6 linked regions of the Cricetulus griseus genome follow. The protein of the gene in region 1 purifies or fractionates together with the protein of each later gene. This does not show direct contact. Links are inferred from orthologs where the notes say so. Each region holds a gene or a part of one and is shown in the gene's direction. Other genes may lie near its edges. The genes, in order: Rrp1b, Srsf6, Srsf1, Ddx21, Lyar and nucleophosmin.

Evidence for each region.
Region 2: the proteins of Rrp1b (region 1) and Srsf6 purify together in Homo sapiens (affinity purification with mass spectrometry; 3 studies listed by BioGRID and IntAct, with this or other methods). This does not show direct contact. The link is inferred for Cricetulus griseus from reciprocal best matches to the Homo sapiens genes RRP1B and SRSF6.
Region 3: the proteins of Rrp1b (region 1) and Srsf1 purify together in Homo sapiens (co-immunoprecipitation; 3 studies listed by BioGRID and IntAct, with this or other methods). This does not show direct contact. The link is inferred for Cricetulus griseus from reciprocal best matches to the Homo sapiens genes RRP1B and SRSF1.
Region 4: the proteins of Rrp1b (region 1) and Ddx21 purify together in Homo sapiens (affinity purification with mass spectrometry; 3 studies listed by BioGRID and IntAct, with this or other methods). This does not show direct contact. The link is inferred for Cricetulus griseus from reciprocal best matches to the Homo sapiens genes RRP1B and DDX21.
Region 5: the proteins of Rrp1b (region 1) and Lyar purify together in Homo sapiens (co-immunoprecipitation; 3 studies listed by IntAct, with this or other methods). This does not show direct contact. The link is inferred for Cricetulus griseus from reciprocal best matches to the Homo sapiens genes RRP1B and LYAR.
Region 6: the proteins of Rrp1b (region 1) and nucleophosmin purify together in Homo sapiens (co-immunoprecipitation; 3 studies listed by BioGRID and IntAct, with this or other methods). This does not show direct contact. The link is inferred for Cricetulus griseus from reciprocal best matches to the Homo sapiens genes RRP1B and NPM1.

What each region holds. Positions count from the first base shown.
Region 1 is NW_023276806.1:260,330,534-260,335,592, forward strand, and holds the start of Rrp1b (ribosomal RNA processing protein 1 homolog B), read left to right. Parts: upstream 1-1,768; 5' UTR 1,769-1,832; coding exon 1,833-1,962; intron 1,963-3,502; exon of another isoform or gene 3,503-3,635; intron 3,636-4,425; exon of another isoform or gene 4,426-4,549; coding exon of another isoform or gene 4,550-4,571; intron 4,572-5,059. UniProt on the Homo sapiens protein: Positively regulates DNA damage-induced apoptosis by acting as a transcriptional coactivator of proapoptotic target genes of the transcriptional activator E2F1.
Region 2 is NC_048599.1:16,582,298-16,587,155, reverse strand, and holds the start of Srsf6 (serine/arginine-rich splicing factor 6), read left to right. Parts: upstream 1-1,786; 5' UTR 1,787-1,930; coding exon 1,931-2,037; intron 2,038-2,236; coding exon 2,237-2,385; intron 2,386-3,665; coding exon 3,666-3,790; intron 3,791-3,895; coding exon 3,896-4,104; intron 4,105-4,260; coding exon 4,261-4,344; intron 4,345-4,444; coding exon 4,445-4,790; 3' UTR 4,791-4,858. UniProt on the Homo sapiens protein: Plays a role in constitutive splicing and modulates the selection of alternative splice sites. Plays a role in the alternative splicing of MAPT/Tau exon 10. Binds to alternative exons of TNC pre-mRNA and promotes the expression of alternatively spliced TNC.
Region 3 is NC_048600.1:101,232,987-101,238,113, forward strand, and holds the start of Srsf1 (serine/arginine-rich splicing factor 1), read left to right. Parts: upstream 1-1,719; 5' UTR 1,720-2,188; coding exon 2,189-2,382; intron 2,383-2,834; coding exon 2,835-3,019; intron 3,020-3,428; coding exon 3,429-3,601; intron 3,602-3,801; coding exon 3,802-3,996; 3' UTR 3,997-5,127. UniProt on the Homo sapiens protein: Plays a role in preventing exon skipping, ensuring the accuracy of splicing and regulating alternative splicing.
Region 4 is NW_023276806.1:274,611,498-274,615,847, forward strand, and holds part of Ddx21 (nucleolar RNA helicase 2), read left to right. Parts: intron 1-294; coding exon 295-480; intron 481-1,870; coding exon 1,871-2,016; intron 2,017-2,668; coding exon 2,669-2,818; intron 2,819-3,196; coding exon 3,197-3,358; intron 3,359-4,349; coding exon 4,350-4,350.
Region 5 is NW_023276807.1:107,176,328-107,180,677, forward strand, and holds part of Lyar (cell growth-regulating nucleolar protein), read left to right. Parts: intron 1-1,122; 5' UTR 1,123-1,173; coding exon 1,174-1,295; intron 1,296-1,928; coding exon 1,929-2,043; intron 2,044-3,577; coding exon 3,578-3,685; intron 3,686-3,773; coding exon 3,774-3,857; intron 3,858-4,350. UniProt on the Homo sapiens protein: Plays a role in the maintenance of the appropriate processing of 47S/45S pre-rRNA to 32S/30S pre-rRNAs and their subsequent processing to produce 18S and 28S rRNAs. Also acts at the level of transcription regulation.
Region 6 is NC_048600.1:48,346,068-48,351,128, reverse strand, and holds the start of nucleophosmin, read left to right. Parts: upstream 1-1,864; 5' UTR 1,865-1,980; coding exon 1,981-2,038; intron 2,039-3,497; coding exon 3,498-3,577; intron 3,578-3,980; coding exon 3,981-4,100; intron 4,101-4,306; coding exon 4,307-4,400; intron 4,401-4,668; coding exon 4,669-4,775; intron 4,776-4,864; coding exon 4,865-4,926; intron 4,927-5,061. UniProt on the Homo sapiens protein: Involved in diverse cellular processes such as ribosome biogenesis, centrosome duplication, protein chaperoning, histone assembly, cell proliferation, and regulation of tumor suppressors p53/TP53 and ARF.

The sequences.
Region 1 (5,059 bases):
GAGTCTAGCCTGGGCTACATGGAGGGAAATCCAAATTAAATAACCAAAGTTTGGAAGGATATCCTAATCTAATAATTCCCCCAACGTGCTAATGAATCCACAGAGTATGTTTGATAACCTAGGGCTTTGGTGTCCCTAAAGTTAGCACAATTGTTAAGACTTGTTTCTTGTGGGATTAGTATGTTCCCACTTGTGCTGAGTGGTTTTATGTCCACTTGACACAAGCTAACGTCATCTGAGAGGAGGGACCCTCAATTAAGAATATGTCTCCCAGCACTTGGGAGGCAGAGGCAGGTGGGTCTCCAGGTTCGAGGCCAGCCTGGTCTACAGAGAAAGTTCCAGGACATCCAGGGCTACACAGATAGATCCTGTCTTGAAAAAACAAATTAAAAAAATAATAAGAAATTAAGAAAATGTCTCCATAAAATCAGGCTGTAGGCAGACCTGTAAGGGATTTTGTTGTTGTTGTTTTCAAAACAGGATTTCTCTGTGTAGCCCTGGCTCTCCTTGAACTCACTCTGTAGAGCAGGCTGGCCTCGGACTCACAGAGATCCTCCTGCATCTGCCATCACCAGCGGGCTATAAGGCATTTTCTTAATTAGTGATTGATGGGGGAGGACCCAGCCTATTGTGGGTGGTCCTATCCCTGGACTGGTGGTCCTGCAGGCTAGCCAAACCATGGTGAGCAATCCAGTACGCAGCACCCCTTCCATGCCCTCTACATCAGCTCCTACCTCCAGTTTCCTGCCTTGTTTGAGTTCTTGTCCTGACTTCCTTCGATGAACAATAATATGGAAGTGTAAGCCAAATAAACCCTTTCCTCTGCAACTTGCATTTTAGTCATGGTGTTTCACTGTAGCAATAGAGACCCCAAGACACCACGGCTCAGAACTGTGTGTTTTGCATGACTTAAGGACAGAGTCAAGTTCCCTCCGGGCCCGTTAGATTCCCAAATCTTCCCCCTGCTTGCTGCCAGGACAGGTCATTCCCCTCTATTGTGTGTGGGGGGGCGAGGGGGGACATCCCTGCACCTAACCCAGACGCTCTGGCTTTGGATTTTGGCAACTCCCCATTTAACAAGCCTGCAATTGCCCCAAGACGCTTTGCTCTCTTGCCACTCCATACCCCCTGAACTGTCCCAGGAATGGATCGCTGTCTCCACGCCACACCCCTGTATGTGCCCTTGATGCTGCAGGGATGGGCTGTTCTTCCTCGCCAAGCCCCGCACCTGTCCCAGAACACGGCAAGGTCTCCTCGCCACCCCTGCCCCTGTCTGTCGCGGGCACCGACGGGAGGCGACCATTCGCTCTAACCAACGCTGCGCCTGCATCCAGGCATTACGCTGAGGGGAAGTGGAGGCGGGGGAGCGCGGCCCCGGGTAGTCATCAGACCCGGGCAGCCTGGATGACGCCCTTTCCTCTGGGTCTCACTTCCACCCAGGAGAGCCCGCCGAGTTCTGCAGACACCGGGTGAGCGGGGGCCGTTGCAGCGCCGTTTCCCCCCCGGACCCAGCCTTGTCAGCTGCGCTTAGACTCGAGACCGCGTCAATCCAGCCGTAGGCGTCTTCCTGGAGGAAATCCGACCCCAGCTAACCCCGACGCCAACCGCACTGAACTCGGACCACCCACCGCCCCCCCAGGACGTACTTAGGCAGGACGCGGCGGCAGCGTCTACTCGCGCCACGGCCACGCGGGCTCGCCGGGCGCGGCACAGCGGGCGCGCCTCTGACGCCATCACCCCGCGCGCCGCGGCCCGTGCGCAGGCGCAGTATACAGCCTGCTCGGCGGGCGAGCCGCACGCGCGCGGCCCCCGGGGATGCTGGAGCGGGCGCGATGGCTCCCGCCATGCAGTCGGCCGAGCTCCAGTTCGCCCAGCGGCTGGCCTCCAGCGAGAAGGGTGTCCGCGACCGCGCAGTGAGGAAGCTGCGGCAGTATCTCAGCGCGAGGACGCAGAGCGACACAGGTGCGGGCCGGGGTCCGCGTCGCTGCGCTCGGCGAGGGTCGCGCCTGTGGGTGCGGGTGCGGCTGCCGCGGGCTGTGCGGCTGCTGCGGCGGGAGCTCCGGGTCCAAGCTCAGCACTAGCCCAGCTCGCCGAGGCCCGGTTGCGTTTCTCGTTTGCTTCCCTTGCACAGCGCCTGCAGGCGCTGGTGTGCGGGAGAGAGTTGAGGCTGTGTTCCAGCCCCGGAGGAACTCTGGCAGTGTGGTGGCAGGACCTGTGGCGGTGGAGGATGTGTGTTATGCCAGTAGTGTGGAAAAGTGCAGGAGAAAGTCTCTCCAAAGGAAGCCTCTTGTGCACTGTGAGGCTTTGAAAGGAGGAAGCCAGCCAGGCAGACGCAGGAAAGAGCTAAGGGTGCCCTAGGCCAGAGAAACCCAAAAGTTGGCGCGCGGGGCGTGTTGAGATGAAGTTGAGCCTGGAGGCAATGTGACCAGATCACTGGCTTTCTCCTTTGGATTTTAAACTGCCGTGGAGTGCTTTGCAAGATTTTTACTTAAGCGATCCAGAGTCTGGACTGCAGCGTGCTGTGGAGGTTTCAGGTTGCAGCCAGACATCTGCTTAAAATTGAAATATGGGGAACTGGAAAAATGGCTCAGCGGTTTGAGTCCCAGTACCCACATGGCAGCTCACAACCAGTGGAGAGGAGTCGCCCCCTTCTGACCTCTGCTGACACCAGGCATGCACGTGGTGCACATACACCTAAAACAAATCTAAGAAAGTTTTCTTTAATTGAAATCTGCCCCATGTGGTAGCTCACACCATTAATTCCTGCACTTGGGAGGCTGAAGGCAGACATGGCCACAGGACAAGTAAGATCTTATCTCTAAAAAAGGAAGAGAGAACCTTTTGTGGGAAGTCTGATAGAGGAATAAAAACTAAAATAATTTTTTTTTTAATTATTACATGTGTGCCGTTCCACCCTGGAATCCAGAGGTCAGATTCAGGTAGACAGGCTTATGAACCAAATGCTATTATCTACTGAGCCGACTTGGCAGCTGCAATCCCTCCCCACCCCCATAATGTTTCTGTTAAGGATTGCCCCAGGAAATTCGGTTTACTCTCAGGTTTACAAGTTTCCTTAATACTTGTGCTGGTAGTTCCTAAACCTAACATGGTAGCCCAGGTGGACTTTTGCTACCCTCCCCTCAGATTAGTGCTCCTAGCCTGGTACTAACCTGGCTGTCCCAGTGTCAAAAATGGGATCCACTCCTGCTCCCCCAAAATACCTACTCTTTCCTGCTAATCCTCCCCTAGGGCTCATACTTACTTTTTTCACCACACAGACACACCACATTGCCATGGACTCTTTTCTTCATCCTCCACACCCACCCACACACTTTGTCTGTTTGTCCTGCCTTCTCAACAACCTGGATTACTCTGCCTTAACCAGAGGTTTCTTTACCTAGATTTCTGTACTGTCTGTTCCCTAAGCTGACTCCTTTACTCCATTATGCCTTTTGTTTGTTTTTCAACACAGGGTTTCTCTGTGTATCTGCCCTGGCTGTCCTGGAAACCAGGCTGGCTTCGAACTCCCAGAGATCTGCGGGCCTCTTCCTCTTGAGTTCTGGGATTAAGGGCATGTGACACCAAGCCGGACTTCCATTGTGCTTCTTTAATCTGCTCTCCACAAACCAGCCCAGGTCATTTTCCTAAAGCAAATCTCCCTGAAGGTCACAGTCTGTCAGTCATGGTGTCCTTGCCTGCTTTTCTAAGTCATTAGCAGTCAATAAAACCCTGTAGGCTGAGGATACCAAGCATTCTCTCTCACCTCCATGCTTTTGCATCCCTTGCTTGTTTAGCAAAGAATTCTACCCCTTCTCCCCTAGCAGTATCATTTCCAAGAAATTTTCAATAGTATCTCCCTGGCCTCCTGGTTATCTCTAGAGTTATGAAATATGTGTCCCTTTTGTAGTAGGTACATGGTGGGGGTGCTATTTATTTGTTTTGAGACAGGATTTCCTGTAGCCAGGATTGGTCTCTATTAGCTATGTAACTGAGAATGACCTTGAACTCCTCCATGGTCCTGCCTCAGCTGTGTACAGGATACTTTGTTTCTGAATTTGATGGCTTCTATCATGTTTTCCCCCAGCACTTTAAGCTTTGGTATGGAGCCTTAGGAGGACCTTCAGGAGACAAGCAAACACTACCATCTGGACCTCAGACAGCCAAAGAGCATGCTTCTCAGACCCCTTTGGGGACAGGCCCAGTAATACTAAGATGTCACAAGGGCCTGAAGCCAGATGGCTCACACCAGTACCCCAAGATCCTTCCTGCTTAGCACCACCCCACCAGATTTGCTTATCTTATTACCCTAATCGTCATCATGGCCAGTTTGTAGAATATAGAAGATCTTCAAGAAAAAAAAAAATGGGGGGGGGGGAGGACTGGAAAGATGGCTTAGCAAATTTGAATACTTGTTTTTTCTTGCAGAGAACCAGGGTTCTATTCCCAGCATCTACGTGGTGACTCCTAACCATCCATAGCTTTAGTTCCAGGGCTTCCGACACCCTCTTCTGACCTCTGCAGTCACTACAGATGTACATGGTGTACATAGATGCATGTAAAAGTAACTGCAGGTAATGGTAGCATGGCTCCATCAGTAATGTGCTTGCCACATGCCTAGGAGCACTTGAGTTCGGGTGTTGAGCATCCATATAAAAGCCAGGTAAAATCCTTGTGTAGCCTTGATGACTAGACAGTCTAGCCAAATTGGTGAGTTCAAGGTTCAATGAGATAACCTGTCTCAGAAAATTAGCTAGAGAGCTGTTGAGGAAAATACCCGAGATTGACTTCTGACCTATACATATGTGCTTGCAAATAAATAAAAATTGGCAGAATGGGTGTCTTAATAATCATGGGACCGGAAAACCAAAGTGTCTGGCACTGCTATGCCCCATCATAATAGAAGCACGGGTTGCCTCACATTTGCATCTCGTTGACAAACTCAATTTGTTTTGCAGCCTTGCATCTTGTTGGGAAATCTGATGTTTTAGTCTTACTGAAACAGATAGCCTTCTATCAGCAGCATAAATAGATAGCTCTGTGGTCTTTACTGTCATGAAGC
Region 2 (4,858 bases), on another chromosome or scaffold:
TGTGGAGGGAGCAAAAGTAGAAGAGGGGAACAAAATATGGTAATACAATGAATTGACAAATACTTTTTTCTCATGTGAAGTCCAAATATATGTGTGTGTATATATATATATATATATATTTACATATACATATGTGTATGTGTATATACTTGCAGTTACAAATAGTGATTTTTTTTTTTTTTTGGTTTTTCGAGACAGTTTCCCTGTGGCTTTAGAGGCTGTCCTGGAACCAGCTCTTGTAGACCAGGCTGGTCTCAAACTCACAGATATCCACCTGCCTCTGCCTCCTGAGTGCTGGGATTAAAGGCGTGTGCCACCAACGCCCGGCTACAAATAGTGAATTTTAATGTGCTGTTGTTATTTATTTATTGGGAGTTGGCTTTTTCCTCCTACGATATAGATCTCTTGAAGGTCTTCAGGCTTGGCAGTAAGCGCCTTTACCTGATTCGCTCATCTCACCAGCCCACAAATAATTTGGCCGGGCGCTGGTGATGTACACCTTTAATCCCAGCACTTGGGAGGCAGAGTCAGGGGCATCTCTGTGAGTTTGAGGCCAACGTGGTCTACAGAGCAAGTTCCAGGACAGCCAAGGCTAAACAGAAACCCTGTCTCGAAAAACCAAATGATGATGATGACAAAAGAAACTGACAATTTGATAAAGAGAAAAATGTTATTTGTTGAATTCGTTCTAACTAGTTCCATGAATATTTTTTAAAAAGCTGTCTACCCGCATTTTTTATATTTCTAACTTTAAGGACGATTTCTCCCCCACTAGATACTAGTACAAACTCATCTCCCGGTTCGTTACAATCAACATTGCCTGTCTGCCCCTAGAGGACAGAATCGCTCCTTCCCACCTTAGCTGAAAAGACCTGTTGGGAGAGCAGAAAACAAATTCCTGAAGAGCAGGTAGTGAGTGACTCGGTGACAGCCTTTTCTCCCAGCTTCCACCACACCACCCTATGCTTTCAGTTTCCTAACCTCTGCAACCAGCCTTTCTTTTGCGGTACTTAAGTTAATTTACTCCGGAGGGGGTGGGGGGGTGTCTTGTTTATCTAGCTCTACAGCGTTAGATGTCACCTCTACAAACTCCTAAGTGTGCATTTCTGCCACATAAACACCGTGCCTTCCTAGTCAACAGGGTTAAGGACAGCATGGGTAGGAAAGGAGCTCGGTGTTCTTGGGGGACCGCCGGGTCACCCGCCTGGTGGTGCGTGGGGTCTTGCCACGCTCCCTTTGTGAGCAGCCGCGGTGAGCGCGGGATTCAGAGCTGTCAGCATTCGGAGCGGGGTGAAGGGTGTCACCGAGACTCAAGACTCGCCACCGCACCTTCCCCGCGGCGGGTCACTACGACCTCCCGGCCAGAGATGGGGCGGCAGAGAAAACTGAGTCCGAGAGCACGTTCCCACCGAAACCAGCGCGAGCCAACCGCTAAAGGGAGAGCGCAACCTCTTTTCCCAGTACACCAATCAGGGACCGGAACGGCCTTGACGGACAGCCCTGAGAACCAGTGAGAACTAGGGACCGTTCTCCGCGTGCTTGGGCACGAGAGCGGTTGACGACAAGGCACCCGTCAAAGGGCCCGCTCCCGGCTGGACTGGGTACGGAGATGGGTGCCGAGCGCCGGGGAACATCGCGGCCGCGAGACCGCGGTCCCCCAAGAAGCCCGTCGCCCGGGAGCCCGCCCGCCCGCCGCGGCGCGGGAGAGGACGTGCTGCGCGCCGACGTCACGCGCCGCGCCCCGCCCCGCCCCGCCCCGGACGCTTATAGCGTAGGCCGGCGCGCGCGCGCACCATTGTGTGGCTGACTCGGCCGCAGCTGCGGTGTGAGGCGCGTGTTCGGGCCTTCGCCGTCCCCGCACCCGCACCGCAGCCGTGCCCCGCGGCCCGCCGCACCTCAGCTAGCCTCCGGGACCCCACCCGCCACGGCCATGCCGCGCGTCTACATAGGACGCCTGAGCTACAACGTCCGCGAGAAGGACATCCAGCGCTTTTTCAGCGGCTACGGCCGCCTCCTCGAGATCGACCTCAAAAATGGGTGAGTCGGGTCTGGGGGTCCGCGCCCCGTGGCGGAGGGAGCCCCCAAGGACCGAGTCGACCGAGGCCGCGGCGCCGCGTGGCAGGGCCTCCAAGATGGCGGCGGCGGCGCCGAGCGCGCGCGGGGAGGTGGCGGGAGCGCGCAGCGCCGGCTAACGACACGCCCGCCGGTGCGCGGCCCGCGCTCCGCCCCTCCTCAGGTACGGTTTCGTGGAGTTCGAGGACTCCCGCGACGCCGACGACGCCGTTTACGAGCTAAACAGCAAGGAGCTGTGTGGCGAGCGCGTGATCGTAGAGCACGCCCGGGGCCCGCGCCGCGACCGCGATGGCTACAGCTACGGAAGCCGCAGTGAGTTCTTCCCCCCCCGCGCGCTCCGCGTCCTGGGTACCGGGCGGGGGCGGTCACGGGGGAGGGGGGCGCAGGGCGGGACCTCCCTGACCCGGGCAGGCGCGGAGGCCGGGGGTCGTTGGCCCTGGGTGTTCCCGGGCCCCCTCTGCCTCCACGCATGCTCGGGGAGCCATAGGACACCGGAGCGCGGGGATTGGGTTGGTCGGGTGGCTGGCTGGTTGGTTGGCTGAGTTTGGAAGGGGTGGCTTCAGTTGGCCCTCGTTGGCACTGGTGTTGGGCTCTGCCCACGTTGAAAGCGGGGGTTGCCTGTATTTGTACCATTTCCCCCTTGCTTTTTCTGTCAGTGCTTTAGCTAGCGTCGAGGAAGTTTCTAGGAAAGCTGGGGTGGAGGTGGGGCAGGGGGCGGGGAAAGGGGAGGAGCTTGGAGCTTAAGCCTTAGGTGAGGGGAGACTTGGCGAGGGCCAAAGAGAATGCCATTTAAAACTAACTAAATGTGGTAGACTACCACAACGTAAATCTAAATTAGCTTTATGCTATATTTGAACTGGTTTGGGGCATGTTACTGGGAGGGGGTTGGGGGGATTTTGGTTATGTGAAATGTTTAATGTTGAAATTGTTGCATGTTGAATTCAAACTTTTTAACAAGTCCTTGATGTTTCAATTTAAAAGTGACCAATGGGGCTGAGGCTGTGTCCACTGAGGCTAAGATGACTGCCTTTCCTGATTGGCCTTGGCTTTTCCATACATTGTGTGACCCTTGCCCTATGACCCTTTGGCTGACCTTACCGGAAGCCATGACGACAGCAGCCTTTTGCCATTAGACGCAGGGTGATGGTGAGGATTCCAAGGGTTAGACAAAACTGGTTAATCTGAACTAGGTGACTGTTACCTTGCGTGTTTTGTGGCCAAACCACCACCAAAAACCTCACACTGTGATGTAAGTACTTAGTGTAACTAGTAAACATTTTTGTAAAATGTAGAAATGCATGTAATCAGTTAAGTTTTATATTTTACAATGTTCTGTAAAATAAAACTTAGCGAGGTAAATTGACTAAAGGAGCAGTCACTCTCTAACAGATTGTAGGAGAGGGTTAGTTGGATTTAGTCTATTTGACTTGCCCTTAATTTAATTTGTGGCAAATCACAAATGTATCGAGGGTTTAGCAGTATAATAGCAAAGTCCTACTCCAGTAATAAACGTTGCTATGTTTGTACTAACTTTCAAAAACATGCATCCCTGTCATTGCAATGCATCTAATTATTCCCTCCGTGTGATAAAGGTGGTGGAGGTGGATACAGCAGTCGGAGAACTTCTGGCAGAGACAAATATGGACCACCTGTTCGTACAGAATACAGGCTTATTGTAGAAAATCTGTCTAGTCGGTGCAGTTGGCAAGACTTAAAGGTATGTGCCTGGGCCTTAAATGACAGTGGGTGGTCATTTCCTTAAGAGTTGGTGCTGCACAGACATGCTCTAGATTTCTGGGACTGACCAGTCTTATTATTTTAGGATTTCATGCGGCAAGCAGGAGAAGTGACTTATGCAGATGCTCATAAAGAACGAACAAATGAGGGTGTAATTGAATTTAGATCCTACTCTGACATGAAGCGTGCTTTGGATAAACTAGATGGCACAGAAATAAATGGCAGAAATATTAGGCTTATTGAAGATAAACCACGAACAAGCCATAGGCGCTCTTACTCTGGAAGTAGATCCAGGTAACATGAGGGACTGGGATGGCTTGTAGTTTTCAGTTGTTGCTTAATTGAACTTACGGAGTTTCTTGGTTGTAGTAAGCAGATACTTCAGCCAAAGCTGAGTAGTACAAACCCATTCTTTCTAGAGATTCAAACGTCACTGTCTCTTGTGTGTAGATCACGGTCTAGAAGAAGGTCACGGAGTAGGAGTCGCAGGAGCAGCCGCAGTAGATCTCGAAGTATCTCAAAAAGTCGCTCCCGGTAAATAATGTGGTAGTGGGTCTTTCTTAATTTTACCTGTTGATGGAGTACATGTGATTTCTGACAAGATACTGAAAGAAATCTGGCTTTTCTTACACAGATCTAGGTCGCGGAGCAAAGGTCGATCCCGATCCCGCTCAAAAGGCAGGAAATCCAGATCAAAGAGCAAATCTAAGCCCAAGTCTGATCGGGGTTCCCATTCACACTCAAGAAGCAGATCTAAGGATGAGTATGGGAAGTCCCGAAGTAGGTCACGTTCTCGGTCCCCCAAAGAAAATGGAAAAGGAGATATAAAGTCCAAATCCAGATCCCGGAGCCAGTCTCGATCCCATTCACCCCTGCCTGCTCCACCTTCAAAGGCTCGTTCTGTGTCCCCTCCGCCAAAAAGAGCTTCCAGGTCCCGTTCTAGATCTCGTTCAAGGTCCAGATCAAGTTCCAGAGATTAACCCTGAACTCTGCGTTCTTTGCACACTATAATGGGACACTGTCCTACTTGCTTAGGCAGTTACTCTTC
Region 3 (5,127 bases), on another chromosome or scaffold:
CTTAATATTTAATGCTTTCATTTTAAGCAGCCTTACATCCTTGGAATGTTCTAAGTCAATGAGAATGTAAAGGGGCAGCAGAATGGCTCATCCAGTAAAGGTGCTTTTCAAAACCCTGACAGTTTCATATCTTGGGCTCACACGGTTGGGGGTGGGGTGAACTGACTCTCATGGGTACGCCATGGCACCAGTCACCACTCCAATGCATAATATGCACAAAATAGAAATTTAAAGACTGCTGGGTGGTGGCGGCGGCGGCGGCACATGTCTTTAATCCCAGCACTCAGAAGGCCGAGGCAGGCAGATCTTTGTGAGTTCATGGCCAGCCTGGTCTACAGATCAAGTTCCAGGACAGCCAGAGCTACACAGAAAAACCCTGTCTTGAAAAACAAAACAAAAAGAAAGGAAATTAAAAACTAAAAGTAATAGTGCAGAAAACACCCTTAAAATCGGTGGGGGTCTGATTTAGCTCATTTATTTTGAGTCAGGGTCTCTGTAGCTCTGGCTGGCCTTGAACTAAAAGGTTCTGTTTACCACAATGATGGGATTTAAAGGCGTGCCACCACCTCTGGCTATTGTTTGTTTGTTTGAGGTAGGGTTTCTGGCTTTGAAGGCTGTCCTGGAACTAGCTCGTGTAGACCAGGCTGGTCTCGAACTCAGAGATCCGCCTGCCCCTGCCTCCCAAGTGCTGGGATTAAAGGCATGCGCTTGCCTCTTCTGGCTATTTTATGTTTACTTTGAATATGAAAGGCTCTGGTTTTAGCCTGAAGAGGGCGGTCGATGTCTTTAATCCCCCAGCACCCAGGAGGCAGAGGCAGGTGGATCTGAAATCCAGGCCAGCCTGGTCTAAGGAGTGAGATCCAAGACAGTCAGGGAAAGATAGAGAAATCCTGTGTGAAAAATACAAAAATAATAACTACAAAAGGCTTTGGCTTTATTTTTCCCAATTTTTTAATTTAAAGGGTTTCCCGGGGCCGGAGAGATGGCTCAGTGACTTAGGTTCAATTCCAAGCACTCATAACTGTCTGTAATTTCAGTTCCAGGGAACCCAGTACCCATGTCAAAATATCAATGCACAAAAAATAAATTTAAAAAAAAATCTAAAGGGTTTCCCTACATGGCCCCGGCTGATCTAGAACTGTGTATCACAGACTAGCATAGAATCCTCCTGCCTCAGTTTCCGGACTGACGAAATTGAGGCCACAAGTCACCAAGTTCAGCTTGGTTTTGCTTTTATTCCAGTTCGAATTCATTAACAAGACTGAAAACCTGCATGATTTCACACATAAGGCCCTAAATTCCATTCCCGTGATTACAAAGGAGTTAAAAGTCGTAGTATCCAATATAAATATCCTGATTTCAAACAATGTGAGATGCAACCGTTGTCTCTAGTAGTTACAGTCCTCGCATCTATTTTATTATTTTTTTTCTTTCCCCATCCTTTGAAAGGAGGAAGAGAAAAAACTGAAGGCGCGGTTGGTTCGCAGAGGTGTGGAGGGTTCCTAACTGCCTACAAAACGCAGCCCACCAAAAAAACGCAGGTTCGTAGAAGCACAGGACACAGCTCCGCCCACGCTCTTAAACCAATCACCTGCAACTCCGCCGGCTCCGAAGATGCCCAGGTTTCCGGAGCAACAGCTCAGCGTCATCTGGCTCCGCCCCCCGGCGCCTTTCCCGCCAAAGGCCGTTACCGCCGCGGAGCATGGTGGGACACGGTTGTGGGCTGTTGTCACCAAATCCTTTCAAAGCGCCGAGTGGCTTTTAAAAGAGGGTTCTCTCCTGAGGGGAGACATACTATCCTTGACTCAGCCGGGACCAACAACCCCCTTTCACCAGCGTACACCGTTTTCAACCACACGTCTGGCCGCCTCGCTGAACCAGGCGTTCCACCAGCAGCAGGACGCGAGGGACTTTTTCCCCTCCGTGCGGAGGGTGACGTAGCGCGTGCGCGAGCGTGCCTCTCAGCACCCGTTACGCTCGTGCGCGTGCGTACTGGGGACGGAATAGCCGCTTCCTCTGGCTTCCCTTCCTCCCCCTCCCCCCCATATCAGTGCGCCGGGCTGATAAAGGCGCCATTTTGGACGGGCCGCGGGAGACGTGGTGCCGCTGAGGGCTCGCTCTGCCGTACGCTAGGCTTGGTGGGAAGGCCTCTTCTCGAGTCCGCGCTTTTTTTTTTTCCCTCGCCGCCATGTCAGGAGGTGGTGTGATTCGGGGCCCGGCAGGCAACAACGACTGCCGCATCTACGTGGGTAACCTACCTCCAGACATCCGAACCAAGGACATTGAGGACGTGTTTTACAAATACGGCGCTATCCGCGACATCGACCTGAAGAACCGCCGCGGGGGACCGCCCTTCGCCTTCGTTGAGTTCGAGGACCCGCGGTGAGGCAGCGTGGGGCTTGCGGCCTTGAGGAGATAGGCTGGAGTAGTTGGGGGAAGGCTCTGTCTGAGGCCTGGACATAATGGGGGGGGGAGGGAAGGAGGGGCTCCGAGGCTGGGAGCGAGGCGCTATCGCCCCTGCAGGAGTCGAGTAAAGGAGCCGAGTCGGCGTGTTGTCTCCGGTGGCTGGCCGCCTCGGACGTCCCCAGAGCCCATGCGCGGCCCGGGAGCGGGAAACTGAGGCGCCGAGGGCTGGCGTGGTGGTCGGGAGTCCGCCCGGCGTGTTTGTGGGTGGGGGAGGGGCCGCTCCTATTATGCAGCGCATGTGGGCTCCGGCGCCGTGGGTGCGCATGTGCGCCGTCCGCGGCTTCCCGAGTGGCTTGCGTGAGCCCGGCCGGCCGGCCGGCCGGCCGCTGTCCCTGGCCTCATCCCCTTTGCTTTCTGTGATCACGCAGAGACGCGGAAGATGCGGTGTACGGTCGCGACGGCTACGATTACGACGGCTACCGTCTGCGGGTAGAGTTTCCTCGAAGCGGCCGCGGCACCGGCCGAGGCGGCGGCGGGGGTGGAGGCGGCGGAGCTCCGAGAGGCCGCTATGGCCCGCCATCCAGGCGCTCTGAAAACAGAGTGGTTGTCTCTGGTGAGTTGACTCCGTGTGGGGTTTTAAGAAAATCCTTTTCCCGCGAGACTGGTTTGACAACTCCCAAGTTTTGGTGTTTGGTCTTATTTTTTGTTTTGCTTTGCTTTGCTTTTTTTTTTTTTTTTTTCCTTTTTTTTCCTTTTAAACTGCTTCGGTCTTGGGGGTGAATTTAGTAAACGAAGATTACTGTGGCGGTGATTTACCCAAATTAGGTTGCAGTGCTAGCCTATGAAGATCCTTTACAAATAAGTTTGGACTGTGGATCTCAGACTCTTACCAGCTCTTTACCTGGAAACACTTAAGTACAATCATTCAGTATTTTAAAATAATCCTTGTTCTGATGTACGTTGCACCAGTTTGATGTGGAACTGGGTGATTAGCATTAAGTAGGGGGAAATCACTTTTTCAGGACTGCCTCCGAGTGGAAGCTGGCAGGATTTAAAGGATCACATGCGTGAAGCAGGTGATGTATGTTATGCTGATGTTTACCGAGATGGCACTGGTGTCGTGGAGTTTGTACGGAAAGAAGATATGACGTATGCAGTTCGAAAACTGGATAACACTAAGTTTAGATCTCATGAGGTAGGTTATACATTTATTCTTTTATTTGGCCAGAATTGGATACAGTGTTCTTAACAGTGGAATTTGAAGGTAAGGATACAGGCAAAGGTGTCCAAGTAAATTACCAGAGACCTGGTCTGTCTGTCTTTGTATTCATTCAGCATGTCTGAAGACAGGTGAAAGCTTAGATCTTTCAATGGAAAGTTCTGTCTATCCAATAGGGAGAAACTGCCTACATCCGGGTTAAAGTTGATGGGCCCAGAAGTCCAAGTTATGGAAGATCTCGATCTCGAAGCCGTAGTCGTAGCAGAAGCCGTAGCAGAAGCAACAGCAGGAGTCGCAGTTACTCCCCAAGGAGAAGCAGAGGATCACCACGCTATTCTCCCCGTCATAGCAGATCTCGCTCTCGTACATAAGATGATTGGTGACACTTTTTGTAGAACCCATGTTGTATACAGTTTTCCTTTACTCAGTACAATCTTTTCATTTTTTTTAATTCAAGCTGTTTTGTTCAGAATGGGCTAAAGTGTTGAATTGCATTCTTGTGTAATATCCCCTTGCTCCTAACATCTACATTCCCCTCATGTCTTTGGTAAATTGTATTTTAAGTGATGTCATAGACAGGATTGTTTAAATTTAGTTAATTTCCATGCTCTTCAGACTGTGATATTGTGTAAATGTCTATTCTGCTCTGGTTTGTGTGAAATGGGATGTTGGGGGTGTTTGTGGTTATCTTACTTGGGGAAGTTCTTATGTTTATCTTGCTTTTCATGTGTCTTTCTGTAGACATATCTGAAGAGATGGATTAAGAATGCTTTGGATTAAGGATTGTGGAGCACATTTCAATCATTTTAGGATTGTCAAAAGGAGGATTGAGGAGGATCAGATCAATAATGGAGGCAATGGTATGACTCCAAGTGCTATTGTCACAGATGAAATTGGCAGTATTGACCTTATACTAAAAGACAAGGGTTAAAATTTTTATCTACCTTAAGACACTTGCAAACATCTTATGCAGTTATCTTTAGCTACAATTGCTTTCTAAACCTTGGCAATTGTGGCAGAATTGCCCATTTTGTAACAATTATTTGCTCCCTTCTCCCCCCCTTTTTGTTTTAATAGGGACTAATGTGGGAAGAATGGCTAATTTGTCACAGTGCTTAGTTACAACTGTTAATGTGTGGCCTGCTGTTGGTGTACATGTGGGTACAGGGTGTCTATTTCCAAACAGAGTATAATATCAATACTGCTAAATCTGCATGTCCTCTGTGTGACTGATAGAGCGTTGTTATTTCATTTTTTTTTAAAGACAAAATGACAGCAAAATAGAATTCCAATGTATTAGTGTAGATAATCTAGTTGGGAGTGCTTTAAGTCTCACCTTCCCTTTTAATATTCATAATTGACTCATGTTTAATACACTTTAATTTACAAGCTAAATTGCAGATGGGAGCAATAGATTTAGTTTAGACTTAGGTGGGTAGCAATACCAGTAAACTTCAATTACATAACTTTGCAACCACAAAACCTGTGATACCTGTACAGTA
Region 4 (4,350 bases), about 14 Mb from region 1:
AACTCACAGAGATCCGCCTGCCTCTGCCTCCTGATTCCTGGGATTAAAGGCGTTCACCACCATGCCAGAAAGTCATTTCTTGTGCTACTATTTCCTAGTGGATCATTTTCCTATTATGTTAGTATGCTGGCTCTCATTTTTCATGTGCTCTCCCACTGGAGTGGACTTACCTTCAGTGTTGTATGTTACTTTATAGCTGTCTGGTTTAGAATAAAAATGTATTTAAATGGATACTCCGTGCAGATAAAAGGAATTTTAAAACAAGGAAACTCTTTTTACTGGAATTTTTTATAGTCGACTGCATACGGAGTGGGATTGATATACTGGTTGGGACCCCAGGTCGTATTAAAGACCACCTGCAGAATGGCAAGCTAGATCTCACCAAACTTAAACATGTTGTCCTGGATGAAGTTGACCAGATGTTGGATATGGGTTTTGCCGATCAAGTCGAAGAAATCTTATGTGTGGCATACAAGAAAGGTAAGCCTCAAATTTAGGGACTGATAGAAGGAACCTAAGGTAGGGTGTAGTGAAATTGTCTTCCAGGAGATAAATAGGGCACTTACTCAAGGAAGCTTAGTTTGTTTTTTGTTTGTTTGTTTGTTTTGTTTTGTTTTTTATTTTTGTTTTTCAAGGGTTTCTCTATGTAGCCCTCATTGTTCTGGAACTCGATTTGTAGACGAGGCTGTCCTTGAACTCACTGAGATCTGCCTGCCTCTGCCTCCCAAGTGCTGGGATTAAAGTTGTGCACCAACATTCGGCAAAGACTTGAAAATTTTAAAGCCAGCACGCGTTCTATAATTGGTGAAAGCTTGGGAGAAGAAAATTTTCTTTTTCTGCCAGCTTGATACACTCACTGTTCAAACAGCTTTCAGTGTATTTCGGGTGTGTGTGTACTAATCATAAATCAACCGTTAAATATTCAAACCTTGTCAGGTGATTGGGCATGATTTATTCTTCCATCTTCCACTTTTCACCTTTATTTCATATAGAGGATTCTGCTTACAGAGGATTTAAGCGGCTGGAGCTCTGTAGTACTTGGAATTGGTTCTGTGATGCAAGTCTCCCTCCATAAGTAGAGCTAACTGATCCAGTTGTACAGGGCACTGAACTGCTTCTACCAGCTTGTGCCCTTTGGTGCTCCTGAGAACAACACCATAGTGCTGCTAAGCCCAGATGATCAGATACATTGATGCATTGCCTTTGTCTGTTGGGGATACTTAGGATTGAGCTGAAGGCTTTGTCACTGGATTGCACCCCAGCCCTGGATTCTGGATTCTTTTTTAAGATTTATTTATTATTTATATATTGTACTGCCTGTTAATGTATGCCTGCATGCTAGAAGTGGGTGCCAAATCTCATTACAAATGGTTGTGAGCTACCATGTGGTTGCTGGGAATTTGACTCAGGACTTTTGGAAGAGCAGCCAGTGCTCCTAACCTGAGCCATCTCTCCAACCTCTGATTCTGGATTCTTAAAATACTAAGCTGCTGTGGGTTTTGTCAGAGGCTGTTTAATTAGAGATCCATGCTGTTGGGTACCTGGACTTCAGGATTGCTTATTCAGTTGTTGAGCCTCCTTCATGGGACAGATTTCCTGTGTGGGTAAGGGATGGATGGCAAAGGCTAGAAAACAAAATAGATTGATTTCATGTACTTTGATCATTTAGAGATCCTTTACGATGACAAATTATTTCAGGTTTTGTGTATTGGGAGGTGTTAGCATCTTTAATAGTGTCTTTGATGTATAGGCTGGCTGGTCACCAGTGGTTGGTGGTGATGGTGGTGTGGTCTGGAGATGCCAGGTGAGGTGGAGTACTGTGTTTGCAGGTTTGTTTGGATTATTCACGCTGACTTCTTTTTCCCCCAAGATTCTGAAGACAACCCCCAAACATTGCTTTTCTCTGCAACTTGCCCTCATTGGGTGTTTAATGTTGCTAAGAAATACATGAAATCTACATACGAACAGGTGGACCTGATTGGTAAAAAGACTCAGAAAGCAGCCATAACTGTGGAGGTAATGATTCATTTAGTTGCCGGAAGTAGTAGTATTAAATTGCTGAGCATTTTGTTTCCTGTCTGATAGTTTTAAGACTAGCTAAAATACAAGCTCTTTTTTTTTAGGTGAATACTAAGTAATCCCTTAAGAAGAGCCAAGTAAAATGCATCTTTCTCTTTTATGTATGGTATCTGCTTTCTGGATTTCACCATCTAGTAGCCTGATTTAGAGTTAACTTGAAACCTTATGTTTGAATTAGATAAAGTGATTACATTTAGAATTTAGCCTCTAGAGGGCAGCAGAGCAATCTGACTCATCATCATTTCACCCAAGAGCAGTATGTTTTTTAAGTGGATGAAGGGGCATAGCACACACAGGCCTTTCTTGTCAGTTATTTGGTTTCCTGCAGGAGCCTGGGAAATAGTGTTTCCTGATTGCATTAGAACGTAAAGACTCCAGATGCTCTTTGGAGAAAGAGGCCTGGGGACAGACCACGTTGCTCTTTACTTTTGTTTATTTAGCTTCCTTCTTTCCCTCTAAGCAGTGGTGGCAGCAGACAGCCCTGTAAGGCCTGCATTTACTTCTTGTTCCACGGCATTAGACTTAAGTTGAGAAGGGAGCTGGGAGATCCCAGCCAGACTTTTCTAAATCCCGTTTCTTCTCTTCAAAGCACTTGGCCATTAAGTGTCACTGGAGTGAGAGGGCAGCCGTTATTGGGGATGTGATCAGAGTGTACAGTGGTCATCAAGGGCGTACTATCATCTTTTGTGAAACCAAGAGAGAAGCCCAGGAGCTGTCACAGAATACATGCATAAAGCAGGTTGGTCCTTCTCATGTCCACCTTGGACATGTTTGCTTTCATTCTGTTTTCAGTCACCCGGTGACTTCCCAGTTGTGTTCAATTAGGGGAAGCTTCTCTAATGGTCAGGGTGTATGTAATAAATCAGTCCTGGTTCGATGTAAAGCTACATGTACATCACTTAACTCTTGGGTGGTATTTCCAACCTTGAAGAGTGTAGTTATAAACAGTTGACATCAGGCTGAGGGCTGCAGACAGTTTGAAGATTTTCCCGAGTAAGAAGGCATCAGTTTTTCACTTTGTATTACTTCCAGAAGGAGAATCCAGACTTAGCTCTTGGGCCTCTTGGAGGGTGCTGTGTTGGGTTTGTATTCTTAGGTCAGTTTATGTCTTTGGCAGGATGCCCAGTCATTACATGGTGACATTCCACAGAAGCAAAGAGAAATCACCCTGAAAGGTTTCCGAAATGGCAGTTTCGGGGTTTTGGTTGCAACCAATGTTGCTGCACGTGGCTTAGACATCCCTGAGGTTGACTTGGTTGTTCAAAGCTGTCCACCAAAGGTAAGGTTTTTTTGTGTGTGTGTTTTTCCCTAAACAGGAATAAAACATTGCTTTTGTTTTTTTTGGGGTACCAAAAGTTGCTTCATTGGCTTGACTTTTATGTAGTTTTCAGTACATTGTTTGTCAGTCTTGGTGACATACACCTTTCATTCCAGAATTCTGTTTGATAGCTTTTGAGTTCTATATAGAGAATTTCGGGGCAAACATTTGCTACCTTGCTTGGATTTTTATTATGTACTTTGGATTTTGAAGGCTTGCAGAAGAGAGTATGCTAACCTGTTGTTACCGTTTATGTATGACTCAGGGATTTTGTTTAGATGTCTGCCCCATCTCTGCTTCCCGCCCTCAGTGCTCCCCCCACCTCCACCCTCATAATCATGTGTTCTAGCAGCCTCCCCACTCCTTTCAGTGAATAAATCCTTTTTTCCTCTTGGGGGCCATTTCTGATTTTCTGAATTCTACACACAGTTTGGATAGGTCGGTGTGGGTGGGTGGATGATGGATAGATAGATAGATAGATAGATAGATAGATAGATAGATAGATAGATAAAGAAGTTACTCTCTGCATATAAGAAAGAATATTCAGTGTTTGTCTTCCAAGTTGGTTCTTTCCAATTGACTGCAAAATTTATCATTGAATTTTTTGTGATATGGTAAAATTCATTATGTCCATATACATTTTCCTTATCCATTAGTCTGTTGGACATTTAGGCTGGTCCCATGTCTTTTTGTTGTAAATAGAAACAATCTACCTTATTAACAAATTTTTAAAAAAATACTTGAATGTATAGAGTTAAATAAACTGTTATTAAAACAAATTTTAATACTTTTATTATAGTCACTTGAAGCTTGGAAATACACATACCCTTGGAATATTTGCACACAGGCTAGTGAGCACTGTTTGAGAGGTTTTGAAGCTCATAGTTTCATTCACTGACCTGCACACACTCCTTAATCTTAGTTATATCACTCCTGTGCTTGGTTTTCATAGG
Region 5 (4,350 bases), on another chromosome or scaffold:
ATGAACCAGTGTCCAACAGTACACCACGAGGCAGAGGGATCTTTGTATACCAGGATGGACATTTCCATTTAGAGCTCAATGGAAGAAAACAGTCCTGATGTTGCTTTGGTATGACCTCACCAGCACTGCAAGGGGTGGGGTGGGGGGTTGGAATGGAGTTCATGCTTGAGAATTTACTGTAAAATCTCAGTGGTAAGGAGTTCTCACAGGAAGCAGAGAAGCAAGTCCTGTGTGTCTTGGTCCTAACCTTCATTTCATACTGAGGAAATGGGTGCTGGACTAGGCAGCTCTCGGTATTTGGGCTGAACAAAGCCCATTTTAGTAAGAACATCACTGCTCTTTTAAAGACCAGTGATTATAAAAGGCTATGTAAGCATGGAAAGTTACTGTGGCAATTGTAACACTTTAGGGATCTGTTTGCAGAGTACAGTAGCATGCATGCAATGTGAACTGGCTATGTGTGTGTAGATGCCCTCCATACTGGGTGCACATAAGGAGGCTGGCACATCTGGGTTTGGGGGTGACCATAATTGGTTCCTTTTCTTTCTTCCTGCCTGATGTACACAGACCCTAATAGAATGAGTTCATTTGTCCCTGTCCACTGAGGCCAAGGGGATGTCTTCATGTTAACATTTGTAATTCCATCATTGAGCATGTAGGAATCATTTTTAGTCTTCAGTGGAATTGTTCTTTAGCTTCTCCACTTGCTAAACTCTGCTGCTTGCCCCTTTGCTTTGTTGGTGTTGTAGTCACAGTTACAGTATGCACTGCACACCTGCACTGTGGTGCTTGTTAACACTTTGATTTTGTACATTTTATATAAGGGGGAGTGCTTGAAATCATTAGTGAAAGCTTTATCTATGCTGCTAATCTGCCAGGCTTAAAGCTTTTTATGCTCTCCTGGGCAAGTTTATGCCACTGTGGCCTCTTAGAAACCTTGACCCATGACATCCTTCCCCAGTAAGCTCATTGCAAGGGCTCAATACATTAGCTCCTGAGTATAATTCCTGGCTTGTGCTGAGCACTCAGCTGGTTCTTCTGATAATGCTCTTTTATTGTGGAATTCATGTATTGGAAGAAGTTTCTGCTTATTATAATATCTTTATCTTGTTTTGTTTTTAGGGCAAGAGTTCAAACCTGTCTCAGGTAGAATATTTAGTCATTTAACCAAAAATGGTATTTTTTACATGCAATGCATGTGGTGAATCAGTGAAGAAAATACAGGTGGAAAAGCACGTATCTGTCTGCAGAAACTGTGAATGTCTTTCTTGCATTGACTGTGGGAAAGATTTCTGGTAAGTTCTGATACTTAGATCCAGGTATAGAAGTCCAGACCCCACAAAGCTTGGGAAGATAGAGGAGCAAACTGAGGACAGAGAACAAAAAAGAAACCTTAGTGTCTGTTGACTAAACTTGGTGTGATTCTCCAGGGAGTGCCATTTCATTTTAAGGACTTGTTAAATTGAAGACCAAAGGGACAGGATCCTGTTGGTTAGAGAATTTGGGGCTAGTAACTTAGTACACACACAGTTTCAGGAACATATAGTTTATAGTTTAGTGGCAGAGCTCTTGTCTGGTATGCATGAGGCCCTAGGTTCAATTCCCAGCACCACCACCCCCCCAAAAAAGTTTTTAGAGAAAATTTAATCATTCAGAACCCTGGCTAGAATTTTGCTTCCTTTATTATCCAATGCAAGGAAGTGAGCACTCAGAATAAGGGACTTTCTGGGCGTTACAGGGCGGGGAGGTGGCACTTTGTTGTGGTTCTGTCAGATCTCATTGCTCTGAAGAAATCAACAAAAAAGCAGAATAATTAGGCTGTTTGTGCAGTTGGCCAAGTATGGAAAATCACAAAGAGTAAGCAGTGTACTCTTTGAGAGCCATTAGCACGTTGTCAGTCTAGTGATAAGACGTGGTTCCCTCTGCAGGGGTGATGACTATAAAAGCCACGTGAAGTGCATCAGTGAAAATCAGAAGTATGGAGGCAAAGACTATGAAGCCAAGACACATAAAGGTGATGCAAAGCAGCAGGCATGGATTCAGGTAAGTGTTTCTGTCCAGCCTGTCACTCATCCCACACTTCTATAAGTGCCACCTGTGCAGACAAGTCCCAGAGACAGCATACCTTGGGGTGGAGCACAAGTGTGAGAACATCTTGAGAAAGATAAAATTGTGGTTTGTTTATCTTTGGCTTCTGTGTTTTATAAATTGTGCTCAGCATATTCGTGGGTTCCTGCTAACTTTCTTTTGGCTGTAAAATGAAACTGAACCATAGAGTTTAAACCATCTGAACACATCTGAACAAAGTTAAAAGTTTCAGAAATGTAAGGAATTTTCTAGTTAAATACAATGAAAATATTTACAAAAGCAGTGAGCTCCATTTTGAAAGAAGGGGAGATTGCTGTACAGATAACATAGCACCTTTGTGGAGACTGCATTTTCTTGAAAATCAAATTAGTTCCCCCATTGAGTGCCAGAGTGTGAGTGTAAACTTGGGGTGTTGGCTCTCTTGACGGTGCATAATCCTGGCACGACCCTCATGAAGGACTTAACAGTGGCTACCCAGTTGAGAAGCTGCTGAAATCTTTAAGATGTGATAGTGCTGGCAGGGTGGCTCAGCTAGGATGCAGGTGCTGGCCACCAAGTCTGAGAACTTGAGTTTAGTCCTCAAGGACTCACCTACTACCAGAGAAGTGATTGATACAAGTTGTCCTCTAACCTCCACAAAAACACCTTTCACAGCACCCCATTGAGCCATCCTGCTGGCCCTCAATATTGTCTATCTGGTGTCATGTGTAAGAAATCATTACCAGATTAGATATTTTGAAGTTCTTTGATACATTTGGGGCTATTTTTTATGTAACATGAGGTCCAATTTAATTTCCATGTTAGGATCCACTATTCCTGGTACCATTTGTTGAAAAGGAGTCCATTTCAAGCTGGACTAGGCTTGATATCCTTGTCAAAAACCCTTTAACCATATCCTCAGGGGCTTGTTCCTGCATTTTCCAGTGGTCTTTGTGGCAGTAGTACCACACTCTTTGGATCATTGTAGCTTTGTAGTAAGTTTCCAATTAAAAAACAAAACAAAACAAAAAAACAACTTATTTCAAGATTGCTATTGTGTTTGGAGTGCCTCAGGGTTCCATGTGAATTAGTTGACATGTACAACTGGACTTTGCTATGGCTTTCAGGTTGACATCTTAATATTGTATTGCAAATGAAATTCTCCCAGTGTTCACATTTGAATTGTTTTTGTTGGTGTGTAAAAATGCAGCTTGCTTTTTAAGAATTGTGTATTCTGCAGCTCTGCTGAATGAGTTGTTAATTCTAACTGGTTGCCCCCTCTAGAGCTTTCTGCAAGCAAGACCATATTCCTTCAAATGCTGCCTGTGAATATTTGACCTGATTTTGTTCCTTCTGTTAGGAAGGCTTTGGCCAGGGCATCAGTGCTGTGTGGAATAGGAGAGTATTTGTCATTATGCATAGATGTAAATATAGAATCTTGGCTTTGAAGGTGAGAGCCCTTTGGCCAAGCCAATATGTCAGTTCATTTTCTTCTTCTTTTTTTAAATAGAAAATTAATGAATTAATAAAGAAACCCAATGTCAGCCCTAAGGTTGGAGAACTTTTGCAGCAAATCAGTGCTTTTGACAATGTTCCCAGAAAAAAGGCAAAATTTCAGGTATGGATTTAAATGCTGTTCCCAAATTGAGGTGTGGCCCATCAGTGACCTGTCAGAGGCGACAACGGCTTTCTCTTTATATCTACAGAACTGGATGAGGAACAGCCTGAAAGTGCACAGTGATGCTATTCTGGAGCAGGTGTGGAACATCTTCTCTGAAGCGTCCAGCAGTGTGAGTCCACTCTGCCTTGCAATTACAGTCTGATAGACAACTGGGAATAATGGAATGGGGTGCTGTGTATGGTGGTTGAGATGGCATTTCCAGAGAGCCTCCATGCTCTCTCTTTGATGGGCAGGAATGAGGTAGGAGCACCTGGACAGTGTGCAGGACAGCATTCAGCCTTCAGCATTCAGCATGCTGGGCAGTGGGACAAGTTTTTGTAGAATGATTGGCACAGCGGTCGGGCTGGGTAAATGGGAGTGACCCAGGATTTGATGTCTGACTGACTGGACTCCACTGTGTTTGATCAATGTACAGCACCCATGTACATCCTGTTTGGGAACTATGTTCAGTGGTTTGAAAGCAGGAGTATGCACATTATTTAGCTTAGCCTTGGATCCTCAGTGTTCTAATCGAAAACATCTGTGCTACTATACACTTCTTAGTTATTCCTTACTTATTGTAGACCTCAAATATCTCGGAAGTGGATTGGTGCTGTGAGAGA
Region 6 (5,061 bases), on another chromosome or scaffold:
AGGCCTTGAACTTGTTGAGCCTGTCTGTCAGGAGGAGGCCTGCTGGTGGGAGACAATAGCCTACAAGGCCTTTTGTCTCAAGGTAGGTGGTTAAGGAAAAAGCTGGCCATCTTGGAGATGGCTTTATTATCTCGCCTTAGCCCCTCTCCCTATCGGTCTGCCCAACAGGGAGTCTGTGTAACTCCTAATCCTTCAATCCCATGAGTTTATATTTAGACAAGGTGCCTGAAATGTTGCAACAAGTGTGTTTTCATTAGTGATAGCTCCCAAATAGTTTAGTGTCTGCATTAGATGTGTTTCTTTTGTTTGTTTTTGGAGACAGGGTTTCTCTGTGTAGCTCTGGTTGTCCTAGAACCCGCTCTGTAGACCAGTCTGGCCTTGAACATTTGAGATCTCCCTGCTTCTGCCTCCTGAGTACTGGGATTAAAGGCTTTTCTCTCTCCCCAACCCCCTGCATGTGCTGTGTTTAAATGATCCAGAATCTAGGAAACAATGAAGTAGTTTTTTGACCCGCCCTGGCTCTAAGAACATTCTCCCTCCTAGACTAGAAGCCTTCGAATTTTGAATGGCCAGACTGCTCACTTGTGGTTTTCCCTTTTCCCGTTTATCTCAGTTGCTTACATAGACAGTACTTCCAAGTTTCAGGATTTACTCTAGTAGTTGTAAAGTGGAAATTCACTGGGCCCCATTCACATCTTGAGGCTGATTTTTTCCCCCCCAAATTTAGGATTTGGTTAATAATCTGCTCATACGTTTTATACTCAACTGGTCTTCCCAATTGGACCATCTCTGGAGTAAAGAGTCTGGGGGCATGAATACCATTACTCACATTCCTCCCAGTAACCTTTTCATTTGCTAGCTATGTTGAGATAAAAAGATTAGGGCTGCTCTCAGTACGCACCCAATGTTGAGGGATGTTTGTCGGGACGCAGTTTAAAATGCTATTTCCCAGCCAAAGATTCTAATCAAGGCTCCTGTATTTCTTAGAAGTCATATGCCTTCATTTGGAATGATAAGGATGACCTGCGTGTTCTCAATTCTGCACACACCTCTAAACTTTTAGAAAGGTGCTCTTTGGCCCTCGAATGACGTAAAGCTGAGAACTTAAGACTTTGGAGATGCTGCCTCAGAAAAGAGGTATAAAAAGTATGGCTGATGCCGGGCGGTGGTGACGAATGCCTTTAATCGCAACACTCGGGAGGCAGAGACAGGCGGATCCCTGGGAGTTTGAACCCAGCCTGTGAGTTCCAGGACAACCAGGGCTGTTACAGAGAAACCCTGTGTGGAAAAACCACAAAAAAAAAAAAAAAAAAAAAAAAAAAGGCTGACAAAGTGGCAAGCAGAGAATCATTCTACTAATGATCCGTCTGTCCTGCCTTTGGCTCCTGAAGCTCTATGGGAAAAGGATAAAATAAGACCAAGCCTTCGAGGAGGTCAAATCCTGAGATTATGCCTGTTGCAGGTCTACCGAGAACCGGAGGGCGAAGAACAGCGAAGGGAGTCGCCCGCTGGTTCCCGGCCGGCAGTCGCCATCTTTTAGGGTGGGCTGCGCAGCCTCTCCGCGCAGGGCCCGCGTGGAGAAGCCGAAACGTGGTAGCTTCGGAGGGCTGGAGCGCGTTACAAAGGGAAAGTGCGCCTGCGCTCGGGCAACCGCGCTGGAGGGGCGGGGCCAGAGGGAGGACGCGCGTGCGTAGTGCGAGCCCGCCAAGCACCTGGAAGAGGTGGGGAGGGGAGGTAGAGAGGCGTGGGATAGGACAGCGCTTGCGCAAGAGCGAGACAGTGCGGGAAGTGGGGGATCCGGAGCACGCTCGCGGAGGCGGGACTAGGGCAGATCTCGCGAGATTTGCTGCGGCCATATATACGTGCGGCGAGCCCGCGTCCTTTCCCTGGCGTGATTCCGTCCTGCTTGTCTGTTCTGAGGAGCAGTAGGCAGTTTCCTCCGTCCGATATCTCGCATACCGAAGTGCGCGTCTCCACCTCATGGAAGACTCGATGGACATGGACATGAGCCCTCTTAGGCCACAGAACTACCTTTTCGGTAACTGCCTGGCGGGGAGGGCCTGGGCAGGGCCTGGTGGTTGGGGGGGCGGCGGGAGTCCAGTTGAGGCCTGGCGTGTGCCAAGCGCGGCGTGGGTGGAGGCCTTTGCACGGCTGGGAGGAACCGCCTGGGCCGCGGGAGCCGAAGAAAGCCGAGGCCCGGGCGCTGAGCGGGACCGTAGCTTGGGGCGGCAGCGGCCCAGCCTCGAGCCTCTGGCGTTGAGAGGGCGGTCGGCCGAGGGTGCCAACTTGGCTTGGGGCGCGAGCAGGGGCTGTGACGACACTTTCTCTTCATACGTGAAGAAGGCCTCAGGACCTGGCAACAGGCAGCTGAAATTCAGCGCTGGGCCCCAGGCGCGTCCCGGGATAATGGTGCCTCTGGAGCGCGGCCTGCGCCGCCTCGTTGGGACGGTATAAGTGCAGTCCGCTGGGCTTTACAGGGGCTTCGGCCCCTCCTCCCCGTGCATCCGAGAGGTTCCGCCGCTGACAGGGACTCGGCCGGCCAAGCTCCCTGCGGCTGAGGGGGCCGCAACCCCTGGGAACACGTGGTTGCCACGTGGTTGGGGGTAGGGAGGGGGTGTGGGCTCTACATCCGGGCTCTCCTCACTTCTTAACCCTGGTCCTTCGGGTCCTGTGGTTTAATTAGGAGTGCTAGGCGGGAAACGCGTAAAGTGGCGCGTGGCGTCCGTGTCTTTGTTAAGATCTTGTAGCATCCACGGTGATGGTAGTGACTTTTTTTTAGAGACCCTTTAGTGCCTCTGCAAGAGGTGGAGTCAGCCCCACGCTGCCGATGACGATATTGATGGTCGAAGGGTCTTGATGTTAAGAGAGGGCCACGAAATCTTAAGTCGAAACTATCCTTTTCCCTACAACTGGTCTTTTTTTTTTGATTGGGCCGGGGAAGAGAGAGAAGTGCCTCCCGCGTTTAGCAGATTAAGGGATCACTTTGGTAACTCGGCTTCTGGGGACCCCACTGTCACTGCACATTCAGCTTATCGGTTTTACAGTCTATTAGTTTGGTTTTCAGTGACTCGAGTCAATTTTTTCAAAATTCCGAGTGTTTAAAGCACTTTCCCCTACGTGAATGAGTAGTACATGTTTAATGTACTCTAAGCATGAAGGGTTTAAGCTGTCCCTACTGGTCATGTGTAACCACTGTTGATTTGTAGTAATTTCCTTTAGAACGTAGGTAAGTTGGGTTTTTTAAAAATAGTGCTAGATAATGGTATGGTGCCACTATGCAAAAATCCAGTTTTAGGTCATTGGGTTTTCTGTGAAAAAATGGTAACGGTGCCTCATTAATTGGTCGTGAGTTACTATGAAAAAGTAGAACTTTTATTGGCTTTCTTATACAGTAGATTCCACGGAGAGAACATTTTTAAGTTAAAAGAGTAGAAGTTAATGGTCGTTTGGGACTGTGATGTTCATCTTGCTAGATTTATTTTATTTTTTCTTTACAGGTTGTGAACTAAAAGCTGACAAAGATTATCACTTTAAGGTGGATAATGATGAGAATGAACACCAGTTGTCACTAAGAACGGTACTTAAACTTTGAAATTAATTAGCCATTAGATTTCAGCCACTTGGATCTAAGTGAGGGGATTTATGTCAGTTTGTGCTTCCTTAACTGATGGAAAAATAGTATTTTTATAACTTTAAAATAGTTCACATATGTACTGGTAACAAAGAACTGGGTGTCTTTTCCACAGTCACTGTTATAATTAGTTGTCTAGTAAGGCTCTGCAGGATGTGATCTTTTTAAGTCTGTTGGCTATATTTTATTGGTTGTTTGGCTTTCTTAGGAACATACAGTGTTTTGTGTCTATGCATCTCGTAATTATATGAGAGGACTAGTTATCAGTAGTGAGAAGAGGCTAATTAAAAAATTTAAGGGGTGTTTATAAAACAACTGGGTACTGAAGGATCTTTCTTTTTGTTCACAGGTTAGTTTAGGGGCAGGGGCAAAAGATGAATTACACATCGTAGAGGCAGAAGCAATGAACTATGAAGGCAGTCCAATTAAAGTAACGCTGGCAACATTGAAAATGTCCGTACAACCAACAGTAAGTACATTTGTAAACATTGTTTTTAAAGTTGGTCTCTAAGACTGATTTAGGATAAGCAAAGATGTTTCAAATAAGTTATATCTAGTGTGAGATTATCTCTGTGGCTTCTAGATAGGTTTATTGATTATATAACTCTGTTGGTGATGCTTGGTGCAAAACATTCTTAAAACAATGTTTAATGATTGAAATTTGCTCATTTTTAGGTTTCCCTTGGTGGCTTTGAAATTACACCACCTGTGGTGTTACGGTTGAGGTGTGGTTCAGGGCCTGTGCACATTAGTGGACAGCATCTAGTAGGTATGTTTTTGGGTTTTTAAATCTGGTATTTCTATTAGGAACTGGCTTTTTTTAATATTTGTGTTTTGGCCAGGTTAGAGAAGACGTCTGTTGCCACTACTTGGGTCCTTGGGATTGAATACTGAGGTTTAGCCACAAAGATCTTGTAATTAGATTGGCTATCATCCTAGATCTCCAATATGGACTTTGTAAAAGTTCTTAGTTGTCTTATGCTGAAATAGGAATCTGGTAATGTATAAAAAGATAACACCTGAGTATCTTATTTCAGCTGTAGAGGAAGATGCAGAGTCAGAGGATGAAGATGAGGAGGATGTGAAACTCTTAAGTATGTCTGGCAAGCGATCTGCTCCTGGAGGTGGTAGCAAAGTTCCACAGGTAATTTTTTTTTTTAGGAAATGTTTTTGGTTTCAATATGTTAAATACTAAGGAATGACTCTTTCTCACAAATACATTTTTCTTTTAAGAAAAAAGTAAAAATCGATGAAGATGAGGATGATGATGATGAAGATGATGAAGACGATGAAGAGTAAGTATAAGTTTGTATGGTCTTAGAAACTTGACACACTGCACTGTGAAGGGTTTTAGGAAAATTGATTTGCCCCAATAGTTTCTAAAAGTGACAAAAAGGATTGATGGTTGAAAGTGAAGACACTTGTGCCTG